Linked DNA regions of Saccharomyces cerevisiae S288C. Changing the gene in region 1 together with any one later gene gives a genetic interaction. Each region holds a gene or a part of one and is shown on either strand. Other genes may lie near its edges.

Region 1 (3,619 bases):
GTGAGAAGATCATGCTACAGATACGCCTCAACAGGCACAGGCAGCACCGACAGCAGCAGCCAGTGGTTAAAATACTCTGTCATCGCCTCTTCAGCTACTCTATTCGGTTATTTGTTCGCTAAGAACCTCTATTCTAGGGAGACTAAGGAAGATTTGATAGAGAAGCTGGAAATGGTCAAAAAGATCGACCCAGTAAATTCTACGTTAAAGCTGTCCTCATTGGACTCACCAGACTATTTGCACGACCCGGTTAAGATCGATAAGGTTGTTGAGGACCTGAAGCAGGTGCTGGGAAACAAGCCTGAAAACTACTCTGATGCGAAATCCGATTTGGACGCCCATTCAGATACCTACTTCAACACGCATCACCCCTCTCCCGAGCAAAGACCTAGGATTATATTATTCCCTCATACTACCGAAGAAGTTTCCAAAATTTTGAAAATATGTCACGATAACAACATGCCAGTTGTACCCTTCTCGGGCGGAACGTCCTTGGAGGGGCACTTCCTGCCTACAAGAATTGGAGATACCATAACCGTAGACCTGTCCAAGTTTATGAATAACGTCGTAAAATTTGACAAGCTGGACCTGGACATCACCGTGCAGGCCGGTCTACCCTGGGAGGATTTGAATGACTATTTGAGCGACCACGGTTTGATGTTTGGCTGTGACCCTGGTCCAGGTGCACAGATTGGTGGTTGCATTGCTAATTCTTGTTCAGGAACCAACGCCTACCGTTACGGTACCATGAAGGAGAATATTATAAACATGACTATAGTGTTGCCGGACGGGACCATTGTCAAGACGAAGAAAAGACCCAGAAAGTCGAGCGCTGGCTATAACTTAAATGGTTTATTTGTGGGAAGTGAAGGTACCTTAGGTATTGTTACTGAAGCTACTGTCAAGTGTCATGTCAAGCCCAAAGCTGAAACTGTTGCGGTGGTATCCTTTGATACTATCAAGGATGCGGCCGCATGTGCTTCTAATCTGACTCAGAGTGGTATTCATTTGAACGCCATGGAGTTACTGGATGAAAATATGATGAAGTTGATCAACGCATCTGAATCCACGGACAGATGTGATTGGGTAGAGAAACCAACTATGTTTTTCAAGATTGGTGGGAGATCTCCCAACATTGTCAATGCTCTTGTGGATGAAGTTAAGGCTGTCGCCCAGTTAAATCACTGCAACAGTTTTCAGTTTGCTAAAGATGATGACGAAAAATTGGAATTATGGGAAGCTAGAAAGGTCGCGCTATGGTCTGTGCTAGACGCTGATAAGAGCAAAGACAAATCAGCTAAAATTTGGACAACTGATGTAGCTGTTCCTGTGTCGCAGTTCGACAAGGTTATTCACGAAACTAAAAAGGACATGCAAGCTAGTAAGCTGATCAACGCCATTGTTGGTCATGCAGGTGATGGTAACTTCCATGCATTCATCGTCTACAGAACCCCTGAAGAACACGAAACCTGTAGCCAACTTGTTGACAGAATGGTCAAGAGAGCACTGAACGCAGAAGGCACTTGCACGGGTGAACACGGTGTTGGTATTGGTAAAAGAGAGTACTTGCTCGAAGAATTAGGTGAAGCACCCGTCGATTTGATGAGAAAGATTAAGCTAGCTATTGACCCAAAGAGAATCATGAACCCGGACAAAATCTTTAAAACTGATCCAAACGAGCCCGCTAATGATTACAGGTGAGTATCTGATTTTCCTTTTTCACCCTTCACGTAAACCTGAAATATATTTCATGTAATATATATAGTTCATCCTTAAAGAAAACATACCATTTCAAAATGCCCTTTCCCAGTAGCTAATACATGCTTAAAAATGTGATATATATTATTACCATCAAATGTATTCATGATCCGGGTAGTGCCTTTTTTTCCTTCAAACACTAATGGGATGGGAAGAAACATTTCGAAAAAAGTTATGACTATTGGCAGCATCAGAGAGAATTAAACCTTACCTGTACAACGATAGCAGCTTACATCACTTCCTCGCAGTCATGGAAAAAAATACGGCACCATTTGTCGTCGATACGGCACCCACAACTCCTCCAGATAAACTTGTAGCACCTTCTATAGAGGAAGTAAATAGTAATCCCAACGAATTAAGAGCTCTTAGAGGGCAGGGTAGATATTTTGGCGTAAGCGATGATGACAAGGATGCCATTAAAGAGGCAGCACCTAAATGTAATAATTGCTCTCAAAGAGGTCATTTGAAGAAGGATTGTCCCCATATAATATGTTCGTACTGTGGGGCGACGGATGATCATTATTCTCGACATTGTCCGAAGGCTATCCAGTGTTCAAAGTGTGATGAGGTGGGTCATTACAGGTCACAATGTCCACATAAATGGAAAAAAGTTCAGTGCACTCTTTGTAAGAGTAAGAAACACTCAAAAGAAAGATGTCCTAGTATATGGAGAGCATATATTTTAGTAGATGATAATGAAAAGGCTAAGCCCAAGGTCCTTCCCTTTCATACTATATACTGTTATAACTGCGGTGGAAAGGGGCACTTTGGTGATGATTGCAAGGAAAAACGATCATCTAGAGTACCTAACGAGGATGGAAGTGCGTTCACTGGTTCTAATTTGTCAGTTGAGCTAAAACAGGAATATTACCGTCACATGAACAGAAATTCGGACGAAAATGAAGACTATCAATTTAGTGAGTCCATATACGATGAGGATCCACTACCGAGACCTTCCCATAAAAGACATTCCCAAAACGATCACTCTCATAGTGGCAGAAATAAACGTAGAGCATCGAACTTCCATCCTCCTCCTTATCAAAAGTCTAATGTCATTCAACCAACTATAAGGGGCGAGACGCTGTCACTCAATAATAATATTAGTAAAAATTCACGGTATCAAAATACAAAAGTAAACGTCTCGTCGATATCGGAGAATATGTATGGCTCCAGATATAACCCTTCTACTTATGTTGATAATAACAGCATTTCCAACTCTTCCAATTACAGAAACTACAATTCTTATCAACCATATAGGAGTGGTACCTTGGGGAAAAGAAGATAACTTTAAATAGGAAGCCCTTTAACAAGCTGTTCTTGGTTACATTATATTTTCTTAATGAAAGATTAAAGACAATACCTAATTCGACCATTAATCAAAATAGCATGTAAATTTCTTACATCTTCTTGTTGTGAAAAAAAAAGGCCTTCGTGCAATCACAGGTAATAATAATAACATATACATACATATACGTAAATACGTCTTATAACTCCTGCTACCTCATACGCTATTTTCTATTATGGCTAACATCTATGCAACTCAATTTAGTCTCTTTTTACCTTTTTCACAATGAATGTATAAAGGTCCTTTTCATCGTAATCTAACCTTCTTTTTTGTGCATTTAAACCGTCATAATCGATTAGAGCAAGTTTGTCGACAAACCGATCTTTTCTATTTAGCTTTAGTGAATCGCACAGTTTTATTCTTCCTAACCTGCAGTTTTTGAAAAATTCGCCTTTAAGAACAGTTATCTCTCCTGCCATTGATGTTACCACCAAGTGAAACGTAAGGGCGCAAACATTGTCTGTGCCTACGTCTATATCATTAATTATAACAATTGTATCATTAATCAATCCGAAA
Region 2 (3,759 bases), on another chromosome or scaffold:
AACCTACAACGACCAACCTGTGGTCAGAGACTGCGATTTTAATATTTCTTCGTCTAATACTGGAAAAGGATGAGCTTCTGTGTTGAAAACAACTTTGGTCAAATCAAACTCGTCTAAAAACAATATATATAAATACTTTAAAGTCTCTGCCAACCAGAAACTTTCCATATTGTTAGATTTCTTTGTAGGTAACGTGATACAATCACTTAAACTGGTGAACCGCCTTAATTTTGGGTCATTACAATCAACACAGGTATTTTCAAAGAAGCTAGTTGCGATTTCCGCCCCCCATTCACGATATTTGTGATCATGAGATAAATGATACATGAACATAATCGATTCCACCGTTTCTGGTCTTTGTAGGTTGTGCCTATCGAGTGGTTTAACAAAAAAATCACCCACAGACGACCGCCACCAACCATCCTGTTTTATGTTTCCATCATTGAAGACAACGATTTCAGGCGCAAGCCCCGAGGAAGACTGCTTGTACATTTGATAACATGTGTCAGTTATCCCTTTAGCCAAATCCCAGTCACTTTTTCTTTCAAGGGAAAGAGAGAAAAACGGACGTCTTCGGGCTTCATGAATAGAAAGGCCCTCAGTAGAGCCTGATGCTAACAATCCCCCCATAAAGCACACGAGGTGGTCCATCTTAGGAGAAAGTTGTCCATGTAGACCTTGTTCTCTTTCCCCAATGTACCACAGAGAAGAGGGTTTGGATTGTGCTAATAAATGCTTTTTCATACCTTCCATGGATTTTCTGTACAGATCATAATAAAGTGTTTCGTGCGTCAATAAATATTGTTTTAGTAAATACTCATAAAAAGAATCACCTCTTGATCCGAACCGGATAGTCGAAGCACCAAACTTCCCAGTATCTGGAAATGTATAAATTGGAACCAATCCATCGTAGGTATTTAGAAGATCGTTATTTTTGTATAATGGCTCGTAAACACGCTCCACCAGCTCCCAATAAGTACGATTTCCTGTCAAATACGCCAGATATTTGAATTCCATTTGTAGCGTAGTGAATTCTGCGGTAGAAGATGCCCCCCCATCTGCATGGTTCTTAACCGCTTGGCCACTATGAAGGTTTATACTTGAGTATGGAATTCCGGTCTGAGTGGATAAGAACGCCAAAGCAAGCCTATCCCCCAAATCTATTGCTTTGTTCAAGTAGACAGTCTTATTACCTACTTCTAAAACATCAGATAGATGATATGCGGATAATAAACCACCTAGCATTCTAATAGTAGTTTCAAAAACATTCACTTCGGCATCAATATCAAAATCCAAAACATCGTTTATCCAATGCTCCGATCTCTGAATTTCTGCCTCGAACTCACTTTTGTATAGTGTGGAGGAGTTATACATTAACATCAAGGTATCCACTGAATCTACGATAATCCAGCCTAACGGCTGGTTGCCACGAGGCATATTATGGGAAGTGTGCTCAATAGGTCCATACACATCGTATCCCCAGCCATGCTTGGAATAGTCTCTCCACGATTCCAAGAACATGCTTTCAATCCGATCTCTCATTTCTCCGGCCCCCGGTGACTTTCTCTCAAAGTGTTCGTACCATGGCACATAGTATATAGCTGCTATGATAGCAACAATGGTTGCAATTGAAATACCGACAGAGTTCTTCATAGAATCCTTTTTCAATGTTTAACCTTTTCCTCTTTTACTACCTTTTTCTGTCGTCTTTCGTTTCTTGGCAAAGCACATTTCTTTCATTCTTTCGTTTGGCGAAACTGAAAATTCCAAATAATTGCTCTTCCACAGAAAATGCGTTACAACCAAAGTGAATTTGTAAAAGTTTAACCCCACATTTTGCTACAGTCTTATTTAAAAATAGCAGTATTCATATTAAAATATCTTGCGGTTTAAGAACTCAATTAACTTCAATGATTGCCAGTGTTGTTCAGGTAAAACCCTTCAAACCTAGTAAATATGACTTATCTTCATGCGTGGATGTAAAAAACAAAAATCATGATAGCGCCTCTGCACTTCACAATATCTCGGTCTAAAAATTAGTCATATATTTTGGATATATATATATATATATACCCATATATATAACGATAGTAGAATGACGCTCATGTGCCGATTCGGGACCTACATAAACAAGAGAGAGAAGAGGAACAGAAGAAAAAATGATATCTAGAACCATTGGTGAATCTATTCCGCCCAACACAAAACATGCTGTTTCCGTGTGTTTGCCCACATGGGAAGCTACAGTAGGCTATGAAGAGGGTGAAAGCAGTATAATTAACTCGCTTACTACCGGATATCCAAGATTTTTCATACACAAGTCAATAAAGAAATTATGTGAAATTTTATCCGCTAAGTACTCCATGGAAGATGAAGCTTGTCTTTGCTTCCCCTCTTACAAGGTTGCCAATAGGTGCAGAGAGTTTATCAAAGTGAAAACGGGTCTTTCTACCAAAGTACGCATCTTACAACTATGTACACCTAAACCTATGAACCAAGAGGAAAAGCTCTGGAGAAGGGAATGTAAAATCACGGTGGTGTTTGTAGACCAGGAAATATTCCCCGTGATGAAGCAGTATTGGCAACATTCTGGTGAGATTGTATCTAGCAGAATGGCGGAGTATATTTTACATGAATTACAAGTCAAGGATAATCTTAAGAAGATGGAAACAGTGGATAACGGTAAAAAATTTATGACCGAAGATGAAAACAGAGTGAACGAAGAATATATAGAAACGAGATTTGGGAGAAATTTAAATTTTCTTGCTGCTGATAAAGCCAAATATCTAATACGAAAGAGGATTGCCACAAAAGTTGTTGAAAAAATTGACTCTGAAGGTCTATCGGACCTATTCTCTTTTGAACACTATAACGAGAGCAACGGTCCATTCAATGTTGGCAGTGGAGAGGCTCTGGATGATGATCAGTTGAATTCGGACATACCTGCCGAAACAATTACTTCTATGGGAGAAAGTGGCTCAAACAGTACTTTTGAAAACACAGCTACCGATGACTTGAAGTTTCATGTCAACCCTAATACGGATGTTTACTTATTTCCAAGTGGAATGGCGTCCATTTTCACTGCCCACAGGCTGCTTTTAAACTTCGATGCCAAGCGCTTATCAAGGTCTTCTAGTAGACAAGATAAGTTGATTGGATATGGACCTCCGTTCAAGAAGACCGTCATGTTTGGATTCCCATATACAGATACTCTGAGCATTCTTCGGAAGTTCAATCACACACATTTCTTGGGACAGGGAGATTCAACGTCAATGAACGCTCTGAAAAATATTTTACATTCTGGTGAGCAAATACTGGCGGTATTTATAGAAGCTCCATCGAACCCACTGTTGAAAATGGGAGATTTACAAGAACTGAAAAGGCTATCAGACTTGTATTCATTTTACATAGTGGTCGATGAAACTGTGGGTGGCTTTGTCAATATAGATGTATTACCGTATGCCGATATTGTTTGTAGTTCGCTAACGAAAATCTTCAGCGGCGACTCGAACGTTATTGCAGGATCCTTAGTACTAAATCCTAGAGGAAAGATTTATGAGTTTGCTAGAAAATTTATGAAGACTGAAGACGGATATGAAGATTGCCTATGGTGCGAAGATGCGTTATGCCTGGAAAGAAATTCGAGAGACTTCGTGGAACGTACAATCAAGGTGAATACAAACACTGATATATTGTTAAAAAGGGTGTTATTGCCTCAGGTGGGAAAATTGTTCAAGAAAATATATTACCCCAGTTTAACAT

Evidence for each region. Genes that interact genetically often act in the same process or in processes that back each other up.
Region 2: mutations in AIR2 (region 1) and STR2 together harm fitness more than expected from each alone (negative genetic interaction), as found in Saccharomyces cerevisiae (2 studies listed by BioGRID).

The regions. Positions count from the first base shown.
Region 1 is NC_001136.10:143,908-147,526, reverse strand, and holds AIR2 (TRAMP complex RNA-binding subunit), read left to right. Parts: upstream 1-2,008; coding exon 2,009-3,043; downstream 3,044-3,619. Other genes in the region: DLD1 (D-lactate dehydrogenase), read left to right, coding at 1-1,701; GID12 (Gid12p), read right to left, coding at 3,304-3,619. UniProt on the Saccharomyces cerevisiae protein: Component of the TRAMP (TRF4) complex which has a poly(A) RNA polymerase activity and is involved in a post-transcriptional quality control mechanism limiting inappropriate expression of genetic information.
Region 2 is NC_001142.9:665,538-669,296, reverse strand, and holds the start of STR2 (cystathionine gamma-synthase), read left to right. Parts: upstream 1-2,159; coding exon 2,160-3,759. Other genes in the region: MNS1 (mannosyl-oligosaccharide 1,2-alpha-mannosidase), read right to left, coding at 4-1,653. UniProt on the Saccharomyces cerevisiae protein: Catalyzes the formation of L-cystathionine from O-succinyl-L-homoserine (OSHS) and L-cysteine, via a gamma-replacement reaction. In the absence of thiol, catalyzes gamma-elimination to form 2-oxobutanoate, succinate and ammonia.